Lonchura striata: one gene and its partners. The protein of the gene in region 3 interacts with the protein of the main gene of each other region in a pairwise test. Links are inferred from orthologs where the notes say so. Each region holds a gene or a part of one and is shown on either strand. Other genes may lie near its edges.

Region 1 (7,945 bases), on a different chromosome or scaffold from region 3:
GCACATATTTTCTATTAGAAACGGTACACGACGCTGCAAGCATCTTGAAAGCACTGGAATTGCCTGACACGCTGGCCAATGAATCATGAATGTCAGAACACAAAGATCCCAGAGTTCTTGCACAAATTAAGGCTTTACATTGGCAAATACATGCCACGTATACTAATTCTCTGGACAGCACAAAGGCCTGGACGTGCTCAGGGGAGCTGCCCAAGGAATAGTATAATTTCCAATTCAGCAAACTTGCACAACTTTTTCACACTGCAAGGTTTTACGTGGGGTTTCAAAGTGCAAAATTAAAAGTCAGCTAAAACACTTTCAGCAAAGAAAACTAGTATTAGCTTAGTATATAGAAAGGTTAGGAAAATAACATCATGTTTTTTAAAAAAATCCCTCTTTTCCTTACTCACTCGAAATGACGTTCTGAATCATCATGGCTCAGAGTCCTTAGAGCAATGATATATAGCCAGGTGGGAATTTGTACAGACTTTTCTCAGGAAACACAGCAGTGGTTTGACTCTAGCAGGTTTAGAATAAAATTTCCTTTTTTAATACTAGCCCACCATCCTTATATTACCTTGAAGTGATTATATATTTAAAAGCTTGCCAACTTCCCTTCAAATGCCTCTCTGTAAACACTTCTCCTTACCCACAAACAGAACAAAACTAAACCAGAATCCTGTTTGTGATTAGAAGAACAGTTAAACTTTATATACAAATAGATGAGGTAATACATTAACCTGAAAATCCACTCAAGAGCAAGATATCTTTTTTATTCTTCACTTATTTCTATGATAGCACTTGTGATAAACTAGCTCTTTAGCTGAAAATGAAATAACCAGCCTGAATTAAAATTCTGAATTAAAACCTACCCCACCCAATCCAAGAGATGTACTCTCTTATTTCTGTTTTGGTTTATAACATGTGGAAATGGTTCTGGCCTCCTCAAGTGCACTTAGGAACAATGCACACATTTGCTTTCCTGAATTTTCGTCAGAGTAAAGAATAAATGGATTCACTTTCAGTTAACATCAACCTCCAAACATTTTTGGTTTCTTCTTGCATGCACAGTAAATCTCAGATTAGCTCCATTCAGAGCTTCAAAATAAGCTGTGACGATGGCCATCATTCAGGGTCATAACCTGACAAAATGAATGTGCCTAGTTGCAAACTGAAAGTGTTAAATACAATTTTAAAGGTACCAAGATGAATGGTTCAACGCTGCTAGATGGCAAGTGGTATTTCTGTAGGCTCTTACTAGAAATGTTTTCAAGTTCTGCTAGAAGTTGCATGAGAAAAAATAGTTTTAGAAGATTTTTAAAGAATTCTTTCCTTTTCAATTCAATTGACCTTGCTAAATGGAAATGAAGGAAATATGGAGGTTTTTTCTTTATCAAATTCACAAAACAATCTACCCTGCTGAAGAGCTGGCTTAGTATAGCAAGAAGACAATCTGCACTATTAATGCAATACTTTTTCTTCGTGAAATGCCAATAAAAAAGCATTGTGTGAGATACAGAAAACAAGAGTTAAATCTGCAGCAGGACAAAATATCCTGCAATTGACTCAGTCTTAGCAAGATATACTTTCTGCAGCCTTGCTGAATTCCCTTCTATTCCCTCCACCCTGTCCAGCTTCCATTACCCATCCAAAAAAAACAAGACTCCAGGAAGAACCCTGACATACATATCCACAGGCTTCAAGAACCACAAAAGTTTATACAAAAATAAATACCATGCTTATTATTATTGCAATAGTTTTCTACACAGTATCTTCTAAAGAGCATTCTTCTATTTTCTAAACAACTAGAATCAGGATTTCAGATCCTTATCAGTTTTTATGACATTGTCAAAGTGACTTTGCAGTTACCTAGAGCCAGAGAAAGTTTCATTTGCAGTTTCTTTTGAATGAATAGCTGTGAGTGCCATGAGACTAATTCTGTCCTTCTTTTCTTCTAGCTGAGTTCTCCTTACTCAACTGACTGAAGCGCACATACTAGAAAAATCAGTAATTGTGGGAACATTGGATGGGTTAAAGAAGTCATAATCCTGTCACCTCTGAAAGTCAGCTTTTCTGGAAACCATGATGTTATTCTTAGGCCTCTTTCTATTATCAATAACACATAAACAATGAATTTTCTCCCTAGGGAATACAAACAGCCTTTTGCAAGTCACATTTGGTGTTGTCATTGAAAAAAGACCAAATCCTTTCTGGCTTGGGAGTCATTTGACTTCAGTGGGGTCCCAGCAGAGATAACTTTTACTTGCTAATTTAACTAATTTCCATAGAATTGCTGTAAATACGAATGCATAAGAACAAAATGTTTTGCTTCTGAAGACAGTATATAAAGATAACTAAAGACATTAATGTGTTTGGAGAAATTAGGATCTATTATATTAAATACTTTCTGCTTATGCATAATCTTATACACCACTGATTTAGATACTATTTCAAAGTAAAGATTTTTGTTCCCTGACTTTGAATGTTCCAGAGGTATCTGGGGTTTGCTTTACTTCAAAGATGAATTGCCTTCAAGATAGATTTTTATCTGATACCACAGCAGAAGTTGTGGAAAGCAGGTAGGGAAGGCTGGGGAGAGAAGGGAGTTCCAGAAAGGAAGCAGATATAAAACTTGTGGTGTTAGAAATGCTGTCTCCATTTCTCCACTGGAAAAGAGAGTAAGTAAAACTTCCCCTCTCACAAAATAGTTGCAAAAGCAAATCTGTTTGGGCAGGAGATACTCCAGCAAAAATTGTTAGAAAGTCTACAAATAGAAGATCCTGATCTGACACAGTTTGGATGCTAATCAGTCAATGGCAACAGGGAAGCAGTTTTAAAAAACAGTTACTGAAGAGCTGCAGCATTTGCTGACCACCTGGAAATTTGTGCTCCGTGACAGGATATTACAGGCCCGTCACAGCCTCACTTAATAAGCAGGACAACTAGTTTCTGTAAAAATAGTAAATTGCCCTCTTTAAATACTCCGTTTTTTTCTTTCAGGTGTGTTTACTGCTCAGTTTGGGTTGTTTGGTTTTGTTGTTTTAGTTTTATTTCCCCCAGAGTTACCCCTAAAATCGCTGTTCATAGAATAACAAACTGGCAACTCCAAGGCCACTGTATTTCACAAATCCATGTACAATCAGGATGCAAGCCTTGCCTGAAGAACACATGAGTAATGCATGCAAAGTTCTTAAAACACAAAACTTGAACAATTGCACCTTGCTGCTTTCTCAAGCAGGTATAAATGAGACTTCTGTGATGAAAACTCCTTGAATCGGTAAGACATAGATTTACTTTCATTTCTTCTTTCATCCATGCTATTTACTTTAGTTGAGAGTGAGTGAGCGGAAACAAAGTAATGAGGTATTTTTGTGATGCACAGAAGTAGATTTCAAAGAAACAAACGCATCTCTGTTCATTACACTGAGTGATTCAAAGCAAGCTGCACGTAAGTTCAGTAAGCATCACGTATAAAATAAAACACAAGAGCAATTCTGTATATAGCTTGGTAGTATCTGTAACTTATATAACCAGCATGAACAAAATCAGATTTTGGCTTCAAGTTGCATCCGGACCTCTGCGGATTTTTTTTCAAGGCACAGCAAAAACAGTCTTGCTGCCTTTTGGTTGACCTTAAACTGAGCTACAGACAGTAACACATAATTCTAAAGCAGGAAACATGACCTCCCCTAACATCAGCTGTTGCGTGCCTTTTCATTCTAACCTCTTCCCATAATCTTAATACAAACAAAACGGGGGATACCTTTTAGTTTTGACCATCTGAAGTTCATGAGAAGCACTGTAAGACAAGATCAGACATGGCGTGCAAACCAGTCTCCTTTTTCTTTCTTTCCTGTTCTCTATGCAAGGCAACCCTCCAAAACTCTCAAGTATTAACTTCAGCCCAACATAACTGGTGTTTCTGAACAGCATCATGGATCAGATTTTGGCATGACAGCTCCTGCTATTGCTTCAGATCAGATTGCTGCATAGGGTCAACTTAACATTTTGTTGAAAAGATCCGCCTTGAGATCATTTCACTGCTTTAAAGGAACACTGGAATAATTTATCTGTAGGATGAATACATACAGACCAAGCCTCCTTCCTTTTAAAAAAGTGAGAATTTTGTCCTTATGCCATGATGAGTAAGAATACAGCTCTCCAGTGAAACGATGGTGTGGAGGAAAATCACAAAAAAGGGATGCCTAGATACTACCACCAAAAAAAAAAAATTTGCTTTTAAGTAGTTCTACTAACTGTCCTTTTGCTGTGTTTTGCGGCAACAAAGTAAAAATGTAATTGTTTTAGGCTTTGTCTTGGTGTGACGCTGTAATGATCCTAATTAAAAAACATGAAACCTGTCAGTTACTTTCTTCCATTGCTTTTATTCATAGCCATTTTTATAGATCTACTGCTGCCTAGTATTTCACACCACGAAGCTTACCAAACAGATCTACTATTTTTGTCATGAAGTAATAACACCTGGCTCCTCCATCTGAGGAGGGAAGGGGCACAGACTACCCTGGAGAGCTGCAGCAAAGCCTGGCCTTCAGCATCCGCTCTTTGCCGGCTTCCAACACCAGAAAAAACCCAAAAAGGCTACGCTGGACCAACAGACAACGACATGAATGGACACTATTCCTGCGAGCAGGGCTTGGGGTGGGATGGGAACAGCGCTCAGCCTCCTGCAGTTTGTCGGCGCTGGGGCGGGCAGGGCGGGAGGGAAGCGGCGGCTCCCTGAGGGCAGCTGGGGCGGGCGGGAAGCGGCGGCTCCGTGAGGGCAGCTGGGGCGGGCAGGAAGCGGCGGCTCTGTGAGGGCAGCAGCAGCAGCAGCAGCCGCCCCGCCCCGCCGCCCTCAGGGCCCCGCACTAGTTTCGCTTTCGCCTTCGCCGCCTTTCCCAGAAGTCACGTGACGTGCCCGCCGCCCGGGAACGCCCCCGGCCCGCCCCCGCGCATGCGCGCGCGGCTCCCTGAGCGCAGCCGGCGCCGCGGCAGCGCCGAGCCGGAGCCGAGGTGAGGGGAGCGGGCGTGAGGGACCCGGGCGTGAGGGGCCGGGGGATGGCGGGGGGAATGCCCGGTGAAACGAAAGCTTGTCGCTTCCTCAGACTGCCCCTGCCCGCGGGACGCCCACCGAGTTTTGCGCTTTGGTGTACTTGCCCTGGGGAAAGAGAGGTGTCTGCTAGCCGTCTTCATTCCTGACAGGGACGCTCCGGCTGCTCTGTCGTCTGTCGCATCCGCTCTCAAGCCTGGCTCTTTGCTCGCTCTCCGCAGCTCACCCTCTCCGACGCGTCTGCAGAGCTGCCCGGAGCGCTGGAAGCGGGCCCGTGTGCCCAGCACGGCGCTGATCCCGCTGATCCCGGTGATCCCGCTCCTCCGGCGCCGCGGGGCAGCCGCCGCGGAACAGGTGCGCTGCTCCCTCCCGGGGAACGCGGGCACCGGGCCGGCCCCCGGCCATGGCAGGCGAGGAGGTAGAGGAGGGCCAGGAGGGAGTCCTGGGCTGCATCGGGCGGCCAGCAGGTCGAGAGGGGTGATCAGCCGCCTCTGCTCTGCCCTAGTGAGGCACATCTGGAGTGCTGTGCCCAGGTCTGGGCTCCTCGGTACAAAAAACACGAGGAGCGACTGGAGAGGGTCCAGCAGAGGTCACACAGATGATGAGGGATGTGGAGCACTCTCTTACAAGGGGAGCTGGAGCTGGAACAGTTTAGTCTGGAGTAGAGAGACTGAGAGGGGATCTCATCATTACATATAAATAACTCAAAGGCAGGTGCCAAGAAGATGGTGACAAACTCTTTTCATTGGTGCCCACTGACAGGATGAGGAGCAGTGGACATGAACACAAGTTCCACCACGACATGAGGAAGAACTTTACACTGAGGGTGGCAGAGCACTGGAGCAGGTTGCCCAGGGAGGTCATGGACCTCCCTCTTTGGGACTGCTATAGCACACTCAAATGCTGTGTTAGCTGTAATCTGAAAAGCACACAAATCAAAAGCCTCAAAGCCCTCACTTTAAACATAGCATTTTTAATTCCTTTGCTTCTCACACCTAGCACATGCCACTCAGCAGCTGAGGGCACTGGCATATAAAAACAAAAGGATTTGGTAGGAAGGGGCATAGAAGACAGTCCTTCATCCTGATGCTGCCTGTTCTTTTGGATGGGTCTTATAAGCAGTCATTAAAAAACAAAGATGTGAGTGGATTTGCATCTCATCACCCATATTCTCAGCCTGGGCTGTTCCTTGGCATATCTTTACATGCCATTTCCACTACAAGCTGATAACCTGCAGCTTAGAAGGCTAAGTGATCTGCCTCTAGAGACCATACGTCAGAGCTGAAGCCACTCTCACAAAAGTGTTAGGACTGAGAGAAGCCGTTCTGCACAGTCTTAGTTCATTTAAGCACCCTCTATCTGCTGCACAGGTTGCTTGAATTTAGCCTGAAAATATTATCATGAGAACTCAAATGCCGAAAAAAATATCTTTCCAGTACTTCTCCATTTAAGGTAACTTGAGATGTAGTCCATTTTCAGAGCAGGCAAGTGTGGACACGAATAGCAACTGAAAATGGGCACTTAGAGGGCTCTTTAATTGTACACTCACACTTTTGGTGCTGGGGAATGCATCTGCACAAGCAAAAGGTGATACTCCGTGATCAGGATCTCAATTATGCAGAGTACAGGTATCAAACACAGAGGTCCTCATTCCCATATGTGCTAAACAAGAGAGCAGTAACACTAGCAGTACCATAAACGCCATGAAAATGGGTTCAGAGGAAAAGGAAAAAAAAGGAAGCACCACACAGCTACTCACTTCCCCTCCTCCCTGCATGGTGGGATGGGGAGAGAATCAGAAAGGTGAGGCACTTCATGGGCTGAGATAAAGATAGTTTAACAGGTAAAGGCAAAAGCCATGTACACAGGAAAGCCAAAGGGAGGAGTTCAGCCATCTCAGGAAAGCCAGGCTCCATCATGCCTAACAGTGGCTTGGGGAGACAAGCACCATCATGTAACATATCCCCTGTGCCTCCTTCTCCTTCCCCCAGCTCTATGAGCTCGATGCCACCTGGTCTGGAATGTCCCTTGGGTCAGCTGGGGTCAGCTGTCCAGCTGTGTCCCCTCCCAGCTCCTTGTGCACCCCCAGCCTCCTCACAGGTGGGGTGGGGTGAGGAGCAGAAAGGGCCTTGATGCTGTGTAAGCCCTGCTCAGCTGTAACAAAAACATCCCTGTCTTACCAGCACTGCTTCCTGCACAAATCCAAAACAGCCCCATGCTACCTACTGTGAACAAGATAAACTTTATCCCAGCCAAAATCAGCACATCCTCCAATTTTGTCAATGTTCATTAAAACTTAAAATTAGTTATTTTTCACCAGTTCAGTCTGAATACTACTTAAACACTGACTTTTTTTTCACAGCTTCCTCAGAATGTCTCAGTGGTATCAACTACAGCAGCTGGATTCCAAGTTTTTGGAGCAAGTTCACCAGCTGTATGATGACAGCTTTCCTATGGAGATCAGGCAGTACCTGGCACAGTGGCTGGAAAACCAGGATTGGTAAGCCAAGGAATTAAATTAGGCTTTGGGTTGTGTGATAAGCAGTGCCCTCAGAAGTGCAGTTTCAGGCAGCAGCAGTATGCTGGGGAAGCAAGCTGCTAGGTGATCCTTTGCTGGTAGGATGCTTCAGTAGCTGTGTGGGTGCTCTGTGTTCCTGCTCCTTTTAGGACTTTCTAGAGGGGCCTGACACCTGGAGTTAGTGTCCTTGCTCATAATGCTCTCAGTGGTCCAGAACAAAAGTGGCTGTTTTAAGACCAATTAGTTACTAACCTTGGTAGCATCAGTCTCTCACTCCCCAAAGACTCCGAACTTCTGCCAGGCTTTCTGTGGAGTGTCTTCTCTTTGAGGAGTGGTACAACATGCATATGCATCAGGGTCACTTTGAGGTTCCTGAT
Region 2 (7,343 bases), on a different chromosome or scaffold from region 3:
AGAGCAGTTCCAAGCCCCAGGAAAACTCCGACCCGTTGGAATGCTTGCTTCGGAAGCGTAAGAACGCCAGGCCAAACGTCCCAGGCTCTGGGAGCAGGTGGAATTCTTGCCCAAGGGGAAACCCTGGGTGTGTGAGGGCTCTGCAGGGCTGGGCCCCGTGCAGAAGGGGCTGTAGCAGCAGCAGGAGCTCGGGGAGGTGCCGTGTGTGCAGCAGCTGCTGCTGTTCTGCAGCCTGGGAGCGGCCAGGCTGCTCCAGGTGCCACCTCTCTCTCTCTCCTCACGCCGTGGCTCGGGCATCCCAGTGGATTGGTTGGAGAAACTCAATTACAGGTATGCAGTGGGAATGTTGGTAATGGAATGAAGAGATGTTCTTGTTTGGAACTCCCTCGTTTTGCTGGCAGACACAAGGTGTTAGCTCACTGCAGAGTCCCCAGGATTTGGTCACAGTGTGGAGTTCTGGGGAGTCAGGGAGGGAGGGATGGGGAAGGAATGTGCTGTCCTGCCCTTGGCCTGTTCCCCCTTCCGTTTGCTGAAGTCTCTGATGAGTTGCTCTGTTTCCCTTGGGCATTCACCATCTTTCCAAGGAATCTCAGCCCTTCCCTGGCTGCAGGGAGCTTTTCACTCCCTCTGCTGCCTGAGCTCTTTAAGAGCCTAAATCACCACTTTGGGTGTTCTCTTGCAAAAGGGAAGTTTCCTTTCCCCATCTGTGACAGAACTGCTGACTGCTGTCTCTGCTTTGGGAAGGTTTTCCTTCTGCCTTTTCAGCCAAAGCTTTGCATGTGTAAAACTTGCTCCTCTTCTCTCCCCTCTTAACTTTTCAGGGGTTGCCTGTCCCAAGCTTTTACCTGTAAATGAGGGAAGAACTGTGGCCAGCTCTGCTTTGCCTCACACTGCGAGTGTGAAGCTTTTTAATCTTCTTGGATCACTTGTTCTTCAGAAGATGAGGAGACATCCAGCCACTTTGGGGTTTTCCTTCCATATTTAGTATTTACTTTTGGCCCTGGAGGCCAAGGAATAACTGCTACAGAGCATTTCCCTTGTCCCAGTTCTGTGCTTGCTCCCCCTTCCCTCTCTGCATCTTTCACACCTCTCAGAGCTCTTTGGTTTGTCACAAACTGTTAAAATCAAATTGCCCAACCTAAAGTTGTTATTTCTGTCTGAGCTTGTTCTGGGGAGTTCCCAGATGTGTCTTCAGGGCCTCAGGTCACCCTGTGAATACTGATCTGAGCTTCCTGTTCAGACCCTGCAGAGTATTGGAATTCTGCTGGAGCAGCCCAGCTTGAACATTGACATTTTCTGTACTGATAAACTTTGGGAAGTGATACAAAGTTTTAAAGAGGATTAAAAATAATGACTGTTATAAATAACACTGAAGCTTCCTTCAGTTTGGATTTCTGGTTATTGCAGTAAATTCTGCTCCAGTCTCTTGGTTTGGGAAAAGCTGCATTTTCAAACTTTAGGTGTGAGGTTTCAATAAATCCATAAATCAGTTTCCTCTACATTAAGTCTTAAAGACACCATGGGGAATGTGTTGATTAATTAAACCTGCAGTGACTAGGAGCCAGTGTTTTTTGGACATTTCCTCCCTTAGGAAACTCCTGAAGTAACAGTTTTTGTGCTTGGATGAAGTTTCTCCACTTGTGGCCATGGGATGTTCCCTGACAGAATCCAGCTGTTCTCTGGCAGAAGGGAATCTTGCCAGGATCACTGGGCATTTATCCTGGTCTAGCACATGGATATCTGCTCCTGGTACTTTTCCATGGCATCCTGTGGTTTGGGATCTAGAAAAAAACTCCAAAACTCCAAATAAAATGTGATCCAGCCTAGCTTCTTAAAAAAATATTTCCTTTGCCAGTCACAGACGATGTTCTCCTGGCAGAAGGGTTGGGTTGGCTCCTTTTACACAGTTTAAGGTGAAATGAATGCATTTTCATGGCAGTGTTTCTGGGCTCTGTCTTGGCTCAGAGCTGTTGCACTGAGTGTGTCATTCCCCTCTCCTGCTGTTCTGAAACCGGGCTCTTCAGGAAGTTCAGATCTCCTTTAAAGCATAGCAGCTACTTCAGGCTGGATATTTGGATTTTCATGTGTCTGTAAGGCTCCAGCAGAAAGCTCTGAGCAAAATTGGCACAGACTCAACTTCCCAAGAGATTCCTGGAGATCTTGTGGTTCAGAGTCGGGGATTGGTTACAAGAGCAGATGCTCAATTGTACTGGATATCCTCAAGCTTGGCAAGCTCCTTTGGGAGCTGTTTGTGAGGAGCTGTAGGTGAAGTGGCTGGGAGAGGAGAGCCCTCGCTCCGGGGGCTCTGCAGCTTCAGGGAATGCCAGACCTGGAAGCTTTGGCTCGGAGAGGTTTTGGAGTGGAGCTCACCTGGGAAGAACTGGTGAATCTGTTTGCATCCCTGCCCCAGGTGTGCTTGGACTCTGGCTGCTGCTGTTTGAGCTGGATGGCGTCAGAACCTCATGGCAGCGCTGAATCCCCCCCGGGACTCCTTGGGAACAATCCCATGTGTGCTGCAGGAGCTCAAAGGGATTACAGGCTGGAATTCCTTGTTAGGCTTGATACCAACATGGATGGAGCTGCTGGAGCTGTGGATGATAATGGACACTCCAGTGGAGTCCCTTTCAGAGGGACTTGGCAGCCTTTTCCAGCCTCAAACATTATCCTTCCAAAAGCAGGAGTGGATCAGAGCTGTTCATCCTGTTCTCTGGCTGGAATACTCTTACTGCTAAAGTATTGTTTAAAATAAGAAATGGAGATTACAAATCAGTGGTTTTGTTAAGCATTCCTTTTTTTTTTCCAGCTTCAAGAGAGCTCCAGGGTGTCAGTTTTCCACAGTGATACCCAGTGTCCTGTAAATTGCTGGGCCTGGGGGAGGTCAGGCTGGACACCTCCCTCTGTCCCTGGCAGAATATTATGAAGCCCCACTTCCTTGCTCCAGTTAAACTATTCATACTCAACTGGCTCATGGTTTCCCACAAATAAAACATTCCACTGTCCAGATAATGCAGCTTGGTGTCCTCCTAGTTTAAATTTAAACCCTAGGACTTGTAAAACCAAAAAGGAAAAATAAAAAGGGAAAAAAAAAGGTGTTGATTCCATTCTTCTGTATGCCAGTCCCTTCAAAGGCAGCAGCCATTTGGGTAGTGGTTTTCTGGAAGTCCCTGCCAGGGTTATTTGGTCCTAGAGAGGCAGTCCCAATCCTGTGAGGAAAGGGGCAGGTGGAGTTTTCCATTGTCTTTTGCCTTTTGCTGTTGACAATTTTGACTTGAGAGCAAATGTAGCAGATTTTAATGCTAAAATAGAATTTATTGTAACTTAACAAAAACATGTTAAAATAAATAGCAGGCAGTGATCTCTTGATCTGTTGGTTCAGTGTGATTCCTTTTTTGTCTTAAATCCTGAGAAAAAAAAGTTACTTGAAATTGTGGATTATGGAGCCAGGGCTGCATCCTGTGGCAACTGAAGGAAACTTGTTCCTGCAGCCTTTCCCATGGGTTTGGATTGCCTCAGGTAACGAGTGGGCACTGGAGATCCAGGGAACTGTGGAAATCTCTGGCTTTGAGGTGGAGGAAAACCAAGAACATATCGAAGTGCTTGAAGCCTTTACTGCATACCTGTAATTGTCCAGTTTTGTGGTCTAGAGAACATGGAGTGTTTCTGGGCTTTCTTATAAGGCAGAGGCTCCATACACGGTTGTTGATTGTTCTAAATTCCCATTGTTTTCTTGGCTTTTCTCCCTTGGTATCTGTGTCGTCTGGAATCTGATTTGTAGTTGGTGAGGTAACATACGTGGAGCTCTTAATGGACGCTGAAGGAAAGTCAAGGGTAAGTGTTTGAGAGTTTCTTTGTGGATTTTCTACCTGAAATGTTTCTGTGTGCTGGACAGAAGGCCAGGGAGGCTCAGAGTGTGGATGTGCAGTGGCTCTAGGTCAGGAGTGCTGTGGGATGGGAGGAGGTGGGGTGGGCTCTGCAATCAGGAGCTGTTCCCTGCGTGCCGTTGGCGTTGGCCGTGTGACCCTGGAGCCCAGCAGGCAGGACAGGGCTCTGGAATATTCCTGTGCTTTGGAAAAGTCACTCGAGTGGTTGGCTGAGTTTGGAAGGGCCAGGGTGCAACAGCAGGTGCTGCAAACTCCACGTCCTGGGCCAGCAGAGCGAGATAAATTCCTAAATGTAAATGTTCAGTGCCTTCATGGGCCTTGAGTCCAGGATCAGGGAAGACAATAGGAGCACTCCTAAGTGTCCTGAAGGATATGGATTTAGGGTGAGAGTGTGGAGGGTTTTGCTGTATGCCAGGGAAGAGCAGGTCACAGGAAGCGTGTGGTATTTCTTGGAGAGTCGGGATTTAGTGTTTGTTACAACCTCAGAGACCCCAGGTTAATCCTGTTAAGGCATAAGAAATTATGGAATTCCACTATTGGAGGCTTGCCTGTGTAAGGTTACATTTATTTTTGCTGCTAGGGCTTAACTGATGTGATTTGGCTTTAATAATAAAATATCTGTGTGTGATTTGAGCTATCACTGACTTTCTTTTTTCCCCTCTTCCCTCCTCCATGTGACTGCCCTGGGAAATCATCTCACCAGGGATGCGCGTAAGTTCACTCTGAATTTTTCAAGTTCAATCTGATTTCATCAGGAATCTGAGGAGACTTCTTCAAACAAAACGTCCTGAGCTGTGTTTGTGTCCCCACAGGGTGGTTGAGTTCAAGATGGAGGAGAGCATGAAAAAGGCTGCTGAAGTTCTGAACAAGCACAGTCTTGGTGGGAGACCCCTGAAAGTAAAAGAAGTAAGGAGGGGATCTGTTCTGGCAGGGATAGAGGGGGAAGCAGGAGTTCCTGTTTAAGGTTTAGGGCTGACTCAGAGGATAATGGGCAGAAAGCAGGACTTAAATAGGATAAAAAAACCCAGTCAACCTTTTTCTGATAGTTTTAACCACTGCTGGACTTGTGATTATCAAGACTAAACTTGATGTGAGGACAAAGCAGGAGTTTGGCTTTAATTGCAGTTCCTTTGTTAATGATTTGACACAGAAACCTCTGTTTGTTCTTTACAAACTTCCCTTTGAATTCTGCATCAGAATGAATGGATTCCGCCAACAATTCCATAGAATCAGCTCTTTCCTGGAATCCATCAAAGATGTATTTCCATTTTAGTGGCCTTGCTGTTGACAGACAGTCCTGGGAGTTCATTCCAAGACCTCTCCAGTGGCACTGGGGGTTTATTAGGGTTTGGAACAGTGTAACAGAGGTTTGTTGTTGGTATTAATGATGGATAAACAACTTGGTAACCAGGGAAATGCCTGGAGAGGAATAACTTATTATTAAAGGGTATCAATAATAAAGGTATCATTTAAATGATAGTGTGCTGGGTGTTGGCTAAAATAACATAAATTGACTGACAATGAAAGGGAAGCAGTTGGCTGGGAGTGCTTAGGGAGCAGATGCCCTGGGATAAAGGGAAACTCCTGTCTGTGCCTGTGGGAGCCCTGGCACTGCCCGTGGTGGATGTGGGATCTGATCTGAGGGTGTGTGTGTGTCCCCCAGGACCCCGACGGGGAGCATGTGGTGGATGTGGGTGGATGTGGGATCTGATCTGAGGGTGTGTGTGTGTCCCCCAGGACCCCGACGGGGAGCACGCCAGGAGGGCCATGCAGAAGGTGATGGCAGCAGGAGGGATGGGCATCGGGCCCGGCCCTGGCGGCCCTGGCATGATCAACATCCCCCCCAGCATCCTGAACAACCCCAATATCCCCAACGAGATCATCCACGCCCTGCAGGCCGGCCGCCTCGGCAGCACCGTCTTCGTGGCCAACGTGAGTGCTGGGCACCCCCTGCTGCAAATCCAGCAGTGGGAACCTCTCAGCTGGGGCAAATCTCAGGAAGGAAAAGCCTTGGGAATTCGGGAAAAGCTCCTCTGTGTCCTGTTGATTCTCTGTGCAAAGGAGGTTCTCAGTTAAGTTGTACCACAGTGCCTGTTAATGGGGATTTTTGAACAAAACTTCGTATTTTGGTTGAATTTTATCTCGGCTCTCTGACAACTTTAATGCCAATACCAGAGGAGGACAGGAGCCAACTAAAGCTGTTTTCTCATGAAAATCTCATGCATTTCCAACAATGCCCTGTTTTCCAGCTGGACTACAAGGTGGGCTGGAAGAAGCTGAAGGAGGTGTTCAGCATGGCTGGGGTGGTGGTCCGGGCCGACATTCTGGAGGACAAGGACGGCAAGAGCCGGGGCATCGGCACTGTCACCTTCGAGCAGGCCATCGAGGCCGTGCAGGCCATCTGTATCCTTGGCAGCAAACTGGGAATAATGGGGCAGAGAGCCCAGGAAACGCAGCAGGGCAGAGTGGGAACTGTATTCCAAAGGAGGATATTGTATCCAGGGCAGGGGAGGTCAAGTTGTAGCAGATGGAAAATGGAAGGAAAAGCAAAACAGAGGCAAAATTCCATCTTGAAGGAATTGTTGCAGTTTGCTCAGGATCCTTAGCAAAGGAAATTCTCTTTCCTACGTGGATAAATGTACTTCAATCCGAGATGAGTTTCTGTCTCTAGGTTGCAATTAATATTAAAATGCAATTCTCTGAAAAGGAAAAAGTCCCTGTGCCAAGGCACACGGAATTGGTATTTTCCTGTTCCTGTTTCCTTCCACTGGCCAAGCAATGATTTGCCACCTAGAAACCCAACAGCAATAAAATTCCAGGTATTACTCTCTCAACTCCTGGTTATGGTATGGAAAGGAGGAAAATAAACCCTCTTCCTTTCCCAAAGTTTCTATTTGTTAATTCCCTTCTGCACTGCATCCACAAAACCTTGTGGGAGCAGAGTTGGGCAGAAGATTCACTGTCATGGCACACTTCAGAATATGGTGTTGCTGTGGAGCTTTTCTCTGTTTTGTCCTGTCTTCAATGGATAAAATGACTGAGGAAGCATTTAAACACTTGGGCTGACTTAGAGTTATGGTTTGTATCTCTTTCTGAACTTAATCTTACCCAGAAATATGTTTTTTATCTTTTTTTTTTTATTTTAAAAAGCCTTTTTTTTAATGTTCAGTATTTTTAGATTTCAAGGCATTTTAGTTTTGGAGAAGGCAGAAGGATTTGGGATAATCTGTGAGTAATAACTGAGGAGATGGATTTTCTGAGGGGTTTTTGTGCTCCCTGTGAGAGCACTCAGTGCTTGAAGAATGATCCTTAACGACCCCCAGCGATGTTCAATGGGCAGCTGCTCTTTGACAGACCCATGCACGTCAAAATGGTGAGGACACTCCCATTCCCCATTCCCACTGACCTGGGAATGCACTGCTGATTTGGGGAGAATTTGTGGTTTCAAGGATGGATCAAAAC
Region 3 (7,282 bases):
ACCTCACCCTGAGTGTGGTTTTTATTGTTCTGGTTTGTTTTCTTCCAGTTCAAAGGAAGGGTTGAGCCCCAAAAAGAGAAGTGTGTCCTTGGTCAGAAGTCTGTAAGTTCTCTGAGTCACACTTCACCAAAAGCCTCCAAAGTATAATCAAGTCAGTCATGTGGTCATCACTCAGTGACAGCTCCTTATCCTCTCTATCCACCTCTGTCCTCAGGGAGGTTAGAAAATGTGTTAATTAGAAGAATGATGAGGAGGGATTTATATAAAAAAAAAAAACAACAAAATCAAAACAGCACTTGTGGAGAGCACACCGACTAGAACAGAACTTACTGGCTGAAACAAAATTTCCAGATTCATGAAAAGGGAATAATTTTTTTTTTTTTGTCTTTGAATTATGTGGTGCCCTTCATGCCATTAATATGACATTGTGGTGAAATGAGTAACTATTGATACTCATTATACTCATCATATATTGATAGCATTGGTTCTCCAGTGGCACAATCCCACCTCATTGGCAGCAGCTGGTTTATACAGAATCATGGAATCACAGAACAGTTTGGCTTGGAAGGGACCTTAGAGATCCCCCAGTTCCAGCCTCCAAATTCCTCCCCAAATATTCTGTGTTCTTTAAGAGAGATCAAGGTTCTCCTTCTGTGGTGTCAAATTTAGGCTCAAAAAACCCAAACCAACCCAAAATTCCATTACTTCAGAGCCTCATCTCAGGGGCTGGCAGGTCAAGGCTTCAGTCCAGTGTGTGGTGGGAAAGAGGAGGAGTCTTGCAAATAGGTGGATTGGAGTGGAGCAGTGATTCTATCACCAAATTGTGGCTCAGCAGCAGCAGACAGCCCAAATTACAGAAATCCTGATTCCTTTATGCCACCTTTCCTGTTAATTGTTCACCTTTAGTCATGGTCTTGACTTTTCCCTTCCACAGAAGCATTAACAGAAAATCTAGGCCACCATCACCAAGATTTAATTCTTCCATCTATGCAGAGACTTCAATCTTCATAAACTGCATTTTTAGGCAACCAGCATTACTGGCTATTGAGGGCAGCAAAGTTAATCTTACTGAATACAGACTTTTCTAAATGAGGGTGACCTGAAATAGCTCAATAGTATCCATAAGCTATAGAGGGGGATAAAGCTGGGATATACCAAAGGAATAAAGGTAGGAACAACCTGAGGATGAGTGGTGATGATATTTTGGCCTTCCAAAACCAAGCTGAAAATACTCCCTGAGTGCAAGAGAGGATGTTTCTTTGGAAACAGACACATTGAACTATTCCTTTAGATTACACCACTCACAGAAATGACGCAGCTTTACATTACATTCTTATTGAGAAACATCCAGAAAAGTCCAGCTGACTTACTCATGGCACATTTTTCCAAGCCCCAAATGCTAAATGTAGTCTCTAACAGCAGATTTGACCCCAGCCATGCTCCAATAATTAGTCTATAGCGTGATCTTTATTAATAAAAGTTAATTGAAACCAAAACTCATCCCTCGGGACTTCCAATCAATGAACACACATGCACACACAAAAAGCCACACTAAAGAGCACTGGAAAATGCAGCTTCACAAAGAAAGAAACAATGGAAAGAAAAGCCCTCACTAAAAATAGTGCTGGTCTTTTTGTGCCTGGGCAGGAAATGTCGGCACCACCAATTCCAGCACTGAATAACGCTTTGTCTTTGGGAACGTTATTCAGCAGGAGGCAAAAGTAAATCAACAGCCAATTCTGCTGAGGAAAGTAAACATTTGCAGATGGGAAAATTGAGGCAAAATGGTATTAAGGGACTTGCTCAAAGTGAAGAAAAAGAAGTCCTTCTTGATTGCTGGTCATCTGTTCTGCTGGGACAAAAAGTCCTCAGCTGGAAAGGCCAAATGTCACTGTCCAGAGCAAGAGCTTATTATATGTAAACCAAATAAATGAAAATGGAATTTTCCCAAAGAGGTGTATGGCTTTGTTCCTCAGATGTATTTGAAGACGCAGTTCTTGGTCAGCATTCTGAGGACCTTCTTGCTGAGCTTTTTGCTGCAAATCCAGCTTTTTCTTCACTTTCCTTTGCGTATGACTTTGCTTGGCATCTCTCTTTCACAGGATCGAGAAAAAACAAGAAATAATCTCAGTTTTAATTACAATTACTTTAGATGAGGAGACAGATGGTACTTGCAGGCCTATGGAGTGATCCCAGCACTATCACGAGTTCTGTGCTTAAAGATCTGACTTCATCTGGGAAAGTTTGTTCTTGATCTGACTGAAAAAGTCAAACACATACAAATTGTCCTCTTCAGCTTCAATATTGCACATTATTCCACTGTTTTTATGCAGAAAAGCTTTTCTGCAGTGAAGGGACTGATCTGGCAATGCAGAGAATGTTCCTGGTCTGTCCATCAGTGCACATGCTCAACTATGAATATGAGAAATATCTCATTATCTGGCAGACCTGAGGTGGTCTGAGCAAAGCAAGGAATTGTGAAACCTTAAAAATTATTTTTTCTCAATAATCGCTGGCCACCATGTATTGTAAATCCTCATTTTGATGTTGTTTTTCTAGGGAATTAAGTAATTCCTTATGTGCCAATGTTGATGCTTTTGTCCCTCACCAAAACTTTTGAACTCTTTTAGATACACAAAGGCATAGAGGTCTTAAATAAATTAATTTCCTGTGAATTTTGGGAAAATAAATAGAAGAGGGGCAGCAGGCCAGCACGTCTGCAGTGCGTGCACAACTTCTGAGCTCAGAACATTTACTGGCATTATGGAATTGCTCACATTATTCCACGAGCAGTTTATCAGAATATGAGTACCCCAATCATCAGGGAAATTTTGCATTCTATGTTTTAAGAGTTTATATTTTATTAAAACTTTAGACACTGGAGAAGCCAAGCTCATAGAAATGTCTTGGGGTTTTTTTAAACATGTTTGATGTCCTGCATGGTTTTGAGTTGCCTTTAATTAAATTTTTGGTTCTTTTTATAGCCAAGTGAAGTTTCTGGCAGAATTTTTTTTTTCTCATGAAGTCTTACAATAGTTTATCTATTCAGTCTTCTGGCAAGATTTACATTTATTTTACTTTGCTGATCACAGGGTAAACATGCAAGAAATTAAATAGTCATCATATAATTTAGTCCTGTCTGTGAAAACCTAACAAAAGAGCCTTTTCCTACAACAGAAATGAGACTGACTGTCCTGTTGTAATAGCTTGAAATGCATTGGAGATAATGCGTTTAAAGAATAAGAAAGATATGTTCTAGTAAGCAGTGATAGCTCTAAAGTATTTCAAGAGCTGGGTTCAAAGTCCCTTGAAAGAATAACAGTCTTTCTGCTGACATTACTAATATTTGGATCAGGCTCATTAATGTATTGCAGATATTATATCCCCAGCTGCCAAAAAGCGGGGAAAAAAAAGGAGAATGTAGTCATAAAAATAGACATAAAATACATTTTTCTTGTGGGAATTAATATAGAAGCGAAATATTGCTGCTACCACTACTCTCCGGGGCTTTATTACAGATATTTCTTTACTTTTTTAAAAGGAATTAACAGGGCAAGCTGTTCATCCCATCCAGAACTCTGCCTCCAGCAAGGGCCATCGTCTAATGCCACAGAGCCTGGCAAAGGCTCGGATTGCTGCAATAGTTTTCACTCCGGCGCTGTAAATCAGTCCTTTCCGGGATGTGCTGTGCTGATGGAGAGGAGCAAGGGTGGGAGGAAAAATAGAAATATCCAGGCAAGACTTTCCCCATCTTTGGCGTGTCTTGGATTAATTACAGATCGATACTTGGTATTCGCCGGCTTTCATAGCTCATTAGCATCACACGGTGCCCGGGTGTAAATTTGTTACAGAGCTTGCCAAGAATCCGGGGGTGTCTGGAAGCAAATGTTCACTCGGTCTGTAAATGAGACACAACTGAGCTGACCAGTTTGAACTCTGGGTGGACAAATCATGTTCGGGATCTTTACCTGTGGCTCTCCAAGAGCCCCGCGAACCCATGGGTGCGTGTGGGCATGTGCATGTTCGTGTCAGAGAGGGAGAGGACGAGGAGAGGGATGGCGAGTGCCGCTCCTGGGTGCAGCTGAGAAGGCGGCACAATCCGGAACCAGGCGCTTATTTTATTCCAGCTCTTGGGATCATTCTCAGGTCGCCCACCTGCCTGCGCACAGAGACAGCGTTAGTAAGGGAATAATAATAACGTGAGAACGCCCCGGCAGCCCCCAGCCCTGACTCTGGGGAGCCCCGCTCTGTCTCTTTAAGGAACCCAGCGAGTCGTGATGCTGCTGTTTGTATTGCCGAATCCCCAGGAGTGCAGTTAAGAAACGGGCAGCTGTCTCTTTAAGTGTGATTTCCTTCTATTGTATTTGAATCGTGATCAGGAAAAAGGAAATGAAACCAGAGAGCCGGGGCTGAGCCACGGAGTAATAATAATCCAGGGGATGCGGCTGCCGCCGCTCGCAGCGCTGCCGCCCGGGCGCGGAGCGTGTGCGGAGCTGCCCGCGCGGAGCCGCTGAGCGCCGGGCGCGGAGCCGCGGTGGCGGCCGCGGCCGCCGCCCCCCGCCCGCCGCGGGAGCGGCCCCGCCGGCCGGGGCGCGGGGGGAGCGCGGCGGGGATGGGAGGTCAGCGCCGGGGTGGGACGTGCGGGGCCGGGGTGGGGGGGGCTGTGCGGGGCCGGAGCGCAGCCCCAGCCCCTGTGTGTCTCTCTCTGTCTCGGTGCTGCAGGAGGAAATCCTGTGAATGTCATCGCGGGGCGGCGGGGCAGCGCGGCTGGCGACAAGGCTCCGCGAGCAGACAGCCTCTGCGGGGGCGGCGGGGGCAGAGCCCACCACCGGCACGCCACAAAGGAACCGGCCCTGCCAATGTCATCGGCCATCGAGAGGAAAAGCCTCGATCCTTCCGAGTAAGTGCGCGCTTCTTCTGCCCGGTCCCCCGCTCGCCATCGTCCCCGCTCGCCTCCCGGTGCCACCCGTCCTCCCCGACGGAGCCGCCGCCGGCATTGTGCGCCTGGCAGCCCCGGAGGGCTTCGGCGGCAGCCCCCGCAGCTCCGACCCCCTTCCCCTGCACAGGACACCGGGCTGCCCCGGCCCCGCAGGGCTGACGGCGTGGGGAAGCTTGCGGAGAGCCTCCCAAGTTGAGGGAAGAGCAGCCGGGAGAAGAGAGGCGCAATTCCCCCCGGGCAGGGCATCTCCCACTCCCTCATCCCACCGCGGAGTGGTGGGGATGCTCGGCGAGAGAGGGAGCGTCCCGCTTCCCAAGCTTTCAGGTTTTCCATCCCGAGGGGCCCTCTCTGCCCCATCCCCGATCTGCCCGAGTCGCTGCAGACGATCAGTGAAAGGTCAGGGCTGTTAGCTGCGGGTGCCCAACTTCCACGTTTTCGTAATGCAACTTCCAAAAGCTCGTAGAAAGCTTTGGTGGGGGCTGGGTGCATGCTAAGAGCATGTAGACAGACTTGATGGACGGGATGTAGGAGATGAGAATTTCCCTCTCTGGGCTTCCCACTCAGGGAAGGGACCGGCTTCCGTGTCCAGATCCAGGCTTTCTCCCGGGGGGTGCTCCCGCTGTCCCGTCCCTGCTGCACACCCAGGGATGGTAACTCGGCACAGACCCAGGGCCACTTCAGCCCTGAACGTGCTAATTTACTGCACTGAGGCTTGTCCGGGATCGCGGTAAGAGAGAAGAAAAAAGAAATAAATTATAAAATCTCCGTTTCTAGATAACGCTTAAAACATCGCTCTCAGTAAATTGAGTCATACGTGGTTTGTTTCCTGTCAGATACTAAAAATGCCATTGCTTGGAGCCCGGAACGAGCACATGGGAACCGCTGCTTTTGGGGATTACATCACTTCATTCCATGATGTTTTACATGTTACATTTTCTTTTATGCTGTTTTTTAAGAAACTCTAATCTCAGCTCCTAATGATGTCCAGCTTTCATCTACAAAGTTTTTTTTTTAATCCTTATTTATTTACCTGCCTTGTGTTCTGGTGGCTTAAGTGCTGGCTTAGAAATCCATGGACATCAAAAGCCTAATGAGTTAACCAGGAATGCTGTTCTGCATAAACATCCGTTGGGCTGTTCCTGAGCTTAGGGCTCTCAGTGAAACCTGGCTTGAGATTCCCAAACACCCCTCAGATGAAACATTTTGGGGTACACTTCAAAGTTTCAGATAACAGAAAATGAAGGATAATGATGTGTGCTTCCTTCTACTGGAAAGCTCTCAGAAGTTCTCAGCATGGAGCCCACGTGTTAGGAAAGGGAGTATGTGGCCCAAAAGAATAAATTTGGGAAAAAATAGGGCCTAATAATGAGTTCCCCATGATTTTAATGAAAACTCACAGGATGGTGAGCTGGCAGGAGAGAGGTGTTACGACATAGCTTGCAGGGCACAGCAGTTTAAACTTAGAAGGGAGAAACCAGACAGAATAGAACCAGATAATATCTCAGAGCTCAGCTTGCCTAAATAAAACTCCAGGATCACTTTCTCAGCCGAGAAGTTTTTGACCAGAGGTCGTTTCTCCCTGCTGAAGAAAGTAATTTTTGCCCAGAAAACTGCTGATCCAGTAAATAAGCAGGAGTAATACAATTTTTTTCCTGTTGCCTGCTGGAAACAGGGAGCAGAGCTTCTTCATCAGTGTAGGTCTCCTCTGCCCCCAGCAGCCCACAGGAGGACAGACAAATGACAGAAGCAAATTGCTCAGGGACTCTGTGCTGGAGCACTAATCCAATAATATGAAAAAATTTGGGGTCCACTCTACTAGCTAAAGGTTTGAAATTAAGCAAATGCTTAAGGGATGGATCCAGTAGATTTTTTAAATTTACTTTTCTGGCATTTGGGTGAAGCCCAAAACAATACAAAACTGAGTTCAGGCACTGTTCTTTTAATTTTTTTTGCTGTTGTGAAATTACCCCAAAAGACACAGAAGTCTTTAAGAAAGTGGCTTTGAAGAAAATTCTCACTTCTTTAACCAGAATTATCCTAGATCTCCAAGCTTTTTAGAAAAAGGAACAAAATAAGGTGCATAAAGAGTCAGTGCTAATATCACAATAAAGATTTGTGTCTTCTTTCACTCATGGATGTGTAAATCCCAGATAATTGAAGTATGTTGGCACAGACCCATCCCAGGGGATTCATGTCCTTGGCTAAGGGAAAAAAGAAGTCCTGCAGCAACATGAGGTAAAATGCTGGCTTTATTAAAATCAGCAGCGAGACTTAAACCAGTTGGGCAACAGAATCAGCTGTTGTGTTTATTAATTTCGTGCTGTTCTGAGAAGTGACACTGAC
Region 4 (7,340 bases), on a different chromosome or scaffold from region 3:
TCCAAATGGCTGGAGGTTGAGGGTTTTGCCTGCAGTCATACTGGAAATTAAAGCTTTTGGTCTTCTGACAACTTTTTGTCATTAATTGTAAGTTTGTTGTAGAAGTGCACCTATGGCAAAGACCCTTTGGGGCTTTCAGTCTGTTCAGAAAGGTTTTCTTAAATTCAACTCCACATTTCTTTGAATCCCTGTTTTGAGTGATGCTGATGTGGTTGCCTTATTGATGCATGCAACCTGGCTGTGCTTCACATTGTGTGCTCCTGAAAGTAGCAGCTGCTTATCCTTTCAGATGCCTTACTTGTTTTCCTCTATTTTAGGTGATTTCCAATAACTTTGAATGTCGAGGTGCATCTGTGTCAAGTGGAAAATGAGCTGTTTGTCTTTCTCCTTGCTCCCAGTGAAAAGGTTTAGAGGCACATTAGGTTTTCAGTCTCTTTATTCTGTGGCTAAACATTTTCTTCAATGCTATCAGCAAGTTTCAGCATTAAAAAGGAGGAGATTTTTGGCTTCTGGAATTAAGCCAGAAAGTGTGGCCAGAATTTAAAGCACCCCCTGATGTGTTTTGTTAACACTAATAAGAGATTCAAAATGCTACGATAAAGCTTTAGATGATACAAGTTTAATATTTCAGCAGTCTTCATGCAGCTGCTATTCTGAGCCTCAAGCAGCCTCCTCCAGCTCAATATACTCAAAATCTATTAATCTAAATTATGATTTTAAAGGGCAGGAGCCCAGATGTGCATAATTGTTTCTTATTGTTCCAATGTGTGCAGCAGGGCTCTGAAGTCACAGTGATAACACAGCTGTGGGTTTGCAGCCTCTCACTGTCCTTTTCCTGCCTGTCACTCTGTGTGTGCTGCTTTCATCAGGCTCACCTGGGTCAATTCACAAAACAGAAAAAATTACTCAAATCCAGGCCCATCCTTTGAAATCTCTGCTTGTATTTAGGCAGGATTCTCTTCCATATCCCAGTCACTTGCAAGTCAGAGTTTTGCTAGAGAAATACAGAGTTTGAGGTCTGGCCCAGTGGGAGCCATAAACACTTGTTTGCCCAGCCTCTCTTGGAGAGGCTTCTCTTGGATCTGGAAGTTGTGCAGCAGGATAAAACCTTTTACTCCTGCTGGCATATCACACAGTTCCCTACACCAGAAACAGCTTTTCTTCCTTTTAGGAAGAGGAACAATGAGGGTTACGCCCCTAGTTTGTTTCAGGGGCTGGAATTTTAATCCTGGCAAGCCAGAGTTCAAAAAGTTTTGAGATGTTCACACTTTGCAGCCACCCACATGTTCTTGACCTCTTCAAAGTGGCCAACTCTCAAGTGTCCCCCTTCACAGAGTCACACGTGGAAATGCAGTTCATAAGACAAGTGTTCAGTCTGCTGCTGCATCCAGGTCAAACAGTTCCTGTGGTGCAGAGGTGAGTGGCTGAAGTGACCTGCTAATAACGCACCTTACAAAATCTGTTTGGTATCCCCTTCAATTTTCATGAACTTGTAATGGGTGGCTGCTGAAAACCAGACTTGTTGCAGATAGAGAATTGCCCCAGACTCCAGGGAAGTTGTTAGGATGTGTCCCAGCAGAGATTTTTGTGAGGAGGAGCAAATCCAGGGTGTGATGTTGCTTCCACAGTGCTTGTTCCTGGCTGAGTTATACTATCCTGGTCTGTGGAAAAGACCACATGGTCTGGATTGTAATGTGTTCCCCCTGCTGCCAGGTCACTGACAAGTATAGAGAGGAAGATGAATAAGACTGGTGTGGTTCATGGGTGCCAAGTAATCACAGCTCAATAGGAAACTTAATAAAGACACAGTGAAGCAGTCCCTGATGTATGACCCCTTCAGAGCATTTTGACAGCATGAAAAAGACCCTTGATGCTGGTGTAAATATCAGCAACCCTGTGCCATCTCATCAGCACTGCCCAGTGCTGGCTCAGCACCTGGGACCTCCTGCCCAGTGCCTGGCAGTGAGTTCTGGTGTAACCCAGCAGTGCAGGACAAAGTTCTGTCATGTCTGCACCCTCTCCTGTGTGAATACATGAGTGGAGATGAAAAGCAGTCCATCCTACCCATGTCCCTGCAAGGAAAGAAGCTTTCCTGGTTGTGTATTTTGTAGTGCTTTGTCTGGACAGGTTTAGAAAGCTCCAGGCAGTGAAGTATCGAAGCAGTTAGGGATCAGGGGCTTCAGTTCCCTTCCCTTTCTGGACCCACAAGCCCTTTCCCTGCTGCTGCCCACTGGCTGGAGCATCTCAGGGCAGGTTTTGGGAACATAATAGGTTGGAGGAAGTAACAGAGAGGAGGGGCACTCTCCAACTCTCCAGTGTAAATTACATGGAAATTAGGCTTCTGTGAGGCCAAGGGCCCCTCCGGAATAGGGCCTTTAGTTAACATAACACTTGTGCTAAATGAAGCGGTTGACACAGCTTTCAGGCTGTAGTGCCACTGTTAATTTACCGTGTGAAAGGGCTGAACCTTCCTTCGAGTTCTGCAGGGAACAGCTCTGCCCTGGCAGGGACCCGAGGCTCATTCTCTACAGAGAGCGACTGCATCATTCCACTGCTGGCTTATTAATATTTATGGGCTGTCCTGTTAGCTGAAACATTCTCAGTGCTGATAAAAACCCAGCAGGTGAGCACTGCTGAGCCATCTTTCTGTTTGGGGTGAGCTGGTCTGGGTAATAGCTGAGCTTTCCTGGGACCTGGCAGAGGGAAGTGGTGGAGTGTTTATCCTGGGTGCAGAAGTTTTCCTGCCCCATGAAAGTGGGGTGATGAGCTGGGACTTCTTCTTCCCCCCCATTTGTTCTCCCCAGGATATTTCCTGCTGCTCCAGGGAATAAGCAGGCACCTTGCTCTTGTTCTCCCCATTTGCTCATCCAAATGTTCATCCAAAGCAAACTCCTAGCACTTAATTGAAAAGTGGATGGAGGAGCAGAAAGGACTGGACAGGTCCCAAAGGGTCTGTATGACTGTAGTAAGGCTAGACGGTCTGTGCCAGGGTCAACTTTATGACTATTTTCATAGAAACAAAGACTGGTTTGGGTTGGAAGGAAAATTTAAAGGCCACCTAGTCCAACCACCCTGAGCTGAGCAATATCTTCAATTAGATTAGGTTGCTCAGTGCCCCATCCAAAGTGGCCTTGAGTGTTTCCAGGAGTGGGGCACCCCCCACCTCTCTGGGCAACCTGTTCCAGTGTTTGACCTATAAATGAGTGGTTACCCAGGGCAAGGGTGAGGATGGATGGACCAGACCCTGTCATGGACACAGACACATGATTAGAATGGGGTTATTCTGCAGGTTTTGGGTTTTGCACTCAGATGTCACCTTGTTGCCTGTTGTCCTGGCTCAGAGAGGAAGCTCTGGGGACACCCCAGGAGAAAGGAGTCTGTGTTTCACTGACCCTACATCATAGCCACAAGGGTATGGAGCTGACTCATCTTTGCTGTGAAAGCATGAGTTAAACCTTCAGTGCACTGCCTGGGCCCTGGAATGAAGGGCAGGCTGGAAAAGGTGTGAATTCACACAGCTCCTGCTCTCACACAGAGTGAGGCAGAGTGGCACCAGGGCTTGGGGCAGCACTGGGACAGCAGCAGCTGTCACGGTCCTCTGGCTGCAGGAGGTGCCAGCTGTGACTCCAAGTGAGAGGGATCTTCCACTAAAAAAGGAAGGGCAGGATCCAGTTGCCTGCATATGTTCACCCCCCAGATACACCTCACATTCTGTCAGAGCAGAGCAGGACCTTCCTCCTGCTTGGGAGTGCAATAAATACCCCCAGTCTGTTCCTCAGTTCCGAGCGATGCTAAGGGGGGCTTTTGAAAGAGCCATCTCCATTTCTGGAAACACTGACAATGCCAGAGCTGGATAAATAAGTAAAATTAAACAAACCAAACCAAACCAAACCAAGACAAAATAAAAACAAAACAAAACAAACAACCCAAAACCCAAACAAACAACAAAAACCAACCAACCAACCAAGCAAACAAAAACCACAAAAAAACACAAAAAACCCCAAAAACCCTACTTCCCAAACAGCAGCGGAAAAAGAGGGGAGAATTAGACTATTGCTAATGCTGGTTCCATCCTTTCCTGCAAAATTCTAGCCAGAGTCACTGAGATAAGTGACTAAAGCTGGTAAGGATGGCTCCAGCTACCACCCCAGCCCCAGAAAAAGGCAGGGGGCATGTGGTGAGCAGAGAAAAGGCAAGACAGAGAGAGGATCTCCTGGGAGATGCAAAACATGCTCCCTGGATTGCCAGGACTAGTGGTGACACGCGCCAGACAAAGGAACTGCTTCTCTATAAATGAGGCAGCCGGACCAGCTCTAGGCTGATTCCAGCAGGAGCAAGCTCCGTGGCCAGGCGCTGGAAAAGCATTCGGGAGAGAATCACAGGAAGCGCCTGATTTTGCTGCCTGTTCGCCCCCTGACCAGGTTCCCAGAGGCACAAGTACCAGAAAAGTAAGTGACAGTGGCCTCCTCTCTTTACAGCTGTACTCCCCTCTTTTGGGCTTATCTTGCAACTTCCTTAGGAAAGCCAAAATTTCCCCTCAAAGCTGGGTATATTCTAAAAGGAAGGGATTTCAGCAGTGGCCTTTCACCAGTTCTCTGGATTTTCATTTCTTATTGTGGCACCTCTGGTTCTTATCATAAAAAAATTAAGAATAAGGCATCTCATCTGACAAACAGCCACTTAGAGGGAGCTGCACTTCATCAAGTGAAGAGGCAGTTTGTACCTGAGCTTTCCAAATTTCTAGTCCCCACAGAGACTCAGTGAATCAGACCTTACCAGAAGAAAATATTGATTGCTTTCACTGCTTTTGAGAGAAATGTTGGTGGTGAGATGTGGAGGAAACAAAAGTGATTTTATAATCACTTTTCTTAACTATTCCTATATTTTCTTACTGCTGCAAATCAGAGTTATTGCACTGGTGCAAAATAATTAGACAGAGAGTCACAGATCCCTGAGTTTAGAAATAAAACTTAAGTGAATTCTACAATGCTGTTTGAAATTTAAAACAAATTCCTTGCAAAAGCACAATTAATCATGTCCTAATTATTCACTAGACTGTGTGAAAATTCACTGACAGTGTCAACAGGTAAAAGTGTAAGGAATAAATTTTAAATTCCAATCCTCACATATTTAAAAATATCCCCATAGTTTACTGGTCGTCTGTGTTACAGCTGATGCAGATGTAAAATATATAGTAATTTGAATTTTCTGCAGTTCAACAGTGCACTTAGGAGGAAAAGATTAGCATTTTTTTTTAATTTCACTTATCTTGTTAAATATTAGTAACTCTCAGATTTGTGAAAAAAACTTTTGAAACTGCCAATATAAAACATCTTTCTATTTCCAGGGGTAGCCTTCTGCATAAAACTATTTTTTGAGAAAGTTAATTAACAGCAAAACATGCATGTTTTTTGAAGTAGCTGTCTCTATCCTTCTTGATTTCCTTGTAACACTACAGGACAATATTTCATTTTCAGAATCTTTTTCCACCACACATTTCTAATTATTTCACACAGATAAAAAAAAAAAAAAAAAAAAAAAAAAGGGAAAAAACAAGCCAAACAAACAACCAACCACAAACCTAACAAATCAGAAAAAAAACCCTTAAAATAAATGCAGTTTGTTTTTACTGCCTGTTTACCTAAATCTTTACGGTAGTTGTGATATGAGCAGGTGATCCAAGAAATGAAGTTCTCACGGAGGCAGCATGCCAGGCAGGAAATTTGTGGACTAAACAGAGGTGGCTGAGGCAGGGATGATCTTTGAGCTGCTGTTTCTCTCAGGAGCAGCCCCACAGAAGTTAAGACATCCGGGGCAAATGGGGTTGTGTTCCTTGTCTTGCAGTGGTTTGTGTCTCACTTTTGGCAGCTGCATTTTGCCATGGTGGCCACGTTCCTCTGTGCTCAGGGTGACCTCTGGTATTAGGCACAGCTGGCACTGGTGTGAGCTGAGGTGGTCAGCAGCCTGGTGGGAGCTTTGGCAGGAAGACACGGCTCGGCACTGGATGCTGTCAGACCTCCAGTCTTGCTTTGGCTGCAGTCACAGACAGATTTGCCACCAGCCTCAGAGCAGACCCAGAGAGAATGCAAAAGCAAATATTGGCTGGGGGGACCATGTCCAAATCTAATATCTATGTTCCCCCTGATGTAAATGTCCTTTGCATTGGCTGGATTTTCCCTTTTCTACTCCCAACAACTTCTCTAACAGTGTGAGCTGCTGCAGACTGCTCTCTGCAGAGCTGTAAGACATGTAGCATCTGGTCCCACTCTTCACTTACATCCTTCTTCCAGGATGTGGACTTCCCTACATACACAGGCAGGGCAAATTTTTTCTGCTATTCACAGCTGCCCTCCTGCCTCCTTGTGCCAGAGAGAGGGTGGCAGAAATAAATCCTGCAATGAGATGGGAGAAATACAAGGTTGCACACTGGGTCTGGGGCAGGGGAAAGAAAAAGAGACCTGAAGAACAGAACCAAACTGTTTTTCTTCTCTGTGTTTACCTTAAAGCACGGGGAGGGTGTCTCTATGTGGTATTTGGGCTGTTAATTTGGCAGAGACTGTTCTTAAATGAAACCTACTGGAACTGTCATTCAGGCCAGTGAAGCATTTTCCAAGAGAGACTCTCATATTCTCTGGAACAGAAAATAACACAAGTGCAACTTCAGCAAATAAAGGCTAAACCTTCTGGCAGAGTGTTCCTTTCTCAGCTTAGCAAGCTGTTATGCCCCTGCCAATGCACTGGAACTCCATTTAGCAAAAGCTGTTGCAGCCCATGAGTGGGTTTATTTTTTTTGTGGTGTAATTCATCTTTCTGCAAAGAGCCATAAAAAGTATTGAGCAGAAGAGAGCTAGATGAAAAAAATCCAACAAAAAAAACCACCAAACCCCCAAAAAAGATCATTCCCATGTGCAGAGTAAACCTTTTCTTGAGCTACATCTCTATCACTATTGTCAAGGTCTTGACCATATACTTTAGTGCTCTCCCAGACGCCATCTGGGTGGCAGCCCATTCATTGCTTTGCAGATCTTCCTTTCCCAAGGCAGGCCTAGAGGGCATGATGATACATTTTGCATGCTGTGAAGTCTTATTTTCTCAGAAAGCAGAGAGCTCTTGGCTGCTGAAGACCTGAACCCTTCAGGAGGGCAACTGGATTTCAAAGCTCAGCAACCCAGGAGCAGTACTGTCAGGTGAAAGACCTGCTCCTTGGGACAGGCATCGTGTGTAGTGCAGTAACCCCAAACATGAAGAATGACTTAGTCCTGAGACCTTCACACAGCTGCCTTTGAAGACTCCAGTGATTTCCTTTCTCTAAAGGTTCAGTGAGAGCACAAGTGTGACTG

The links.
Region 1: the proteins of LMO2 (region 3) and STAT1 interact in a two-hybrid assay, tested with the Homo sapiens proteins (2 studies listed by BioGRID and IntAct). The two-hybrid records come from large-scale screens. The link is inferred for Lonchura striata from reciprocal best matches to the Homo sapiens genes LMO2 and STAT1.
Region 2: the proteins of LMO2 (region 3) and heterogeneous nuclear ribonucleoprotein M interact in binary tests that used the Homo sapiens proteins (3 or more experiments, as listed by UniProt). The link is inferred for Lonchura striata from reciprocal best matches to the Homo sapiens genes LMO2 and HNRNPM.
Region 4: the proteins of LMO2 (region 3) and TAL2 interact in a two-hybrid assay, tested with the Homo sapiens proteins (2 studies listed by BioGRID and IntAct). The link is inferred for Lonchura striata from reciprocal best matches to the Homo sapiens genes LMO2 and TAL2.

Annotation. Positions count from the first base shown.
Region 1 is NC_134610.1:30,434,747-30,442,691, forward strand, and holds the start of STAT1 (signal transducer and activator of transcription 1-alpha/beta), read left to right. Parts: upstream 1-4,930; 5' UTR 4,931-5,013; intron 5,014-5,202; 5' UTR 5,203-5,404; intron 5,405-7,412; 5' UTR 7,413-7,422; coding exon 7,423-7,550; intron 7,551-7,945. Other genes in the region: STAT4 (signal transducer and activator of transcription 4), read left to right, coding at 1,959-1,985. UniProt on the Homo sapiens protein: Signal transducer and transcription activator that mediates cellular responses to interferons (IFNs), cytokine KITLG/SCF and other cytokines and other growth factors.
Region 2 is NC_134630.1:6,569,066-6,576,408, forward strand, and holds the start of heterogeneous nuclear ribonucleoprotein M, read left to right. Parts: upstream 1-4,339; 5' UTR 4,340-4,592; intron 4,593-4,693; 5' UTR 4,694-4,709; coding exon 4,710-4,787; intron 4,788-5,618; coding exon 5,619-5,813; intron 5,814-6,130; coding exon 6,131-6,284; intron 6,285-7,204; coding exon 7,205-7,254; intron 7,255-7,343. Other genes in the region: heterogeneous nuclear ribonucleoprotein M-like, read left to right, coding at 3,776-3,840. UniProt on the Homo sapiens protein: Pre-mRNA binding protein in vivo, binds avidly to poly(G) and poly(U) RNA homopolymers in vitro. Involved in splicing.
Region 3 is NC_134608.1:54,470,806-54,478,087, forward strand, and holds the start of LMO2 (rhombotin-2), read left to right. Parts: upstream 1-4,270; 5' UTR 4,271-4,277; coding exon 4,278-4,314; intron 4,315-4,553; exon of another isoform or gene 4,554-4,612; coding exon of another isoform or gene 4,613-4,619; intron 4,620-4,722; coding exon 4,723-4,900; intron 4,901-7,282. UniProt on the Homo sapiens protein: Acts with TAL1/SCL to regulate red blood cell development. Also acts with LDB1 to maintain erythroid precursors in an immature state.
Region 4 is NC_134642.1:81,251,841-81,259,180, forward strand, and holds the start of TAL2 (T-cell acute lymphocytic leukemia protein 2), read left to right. Parts: upstream 1-4,336; 5' UTR 4,337-4,448; intron 4,449-7,340.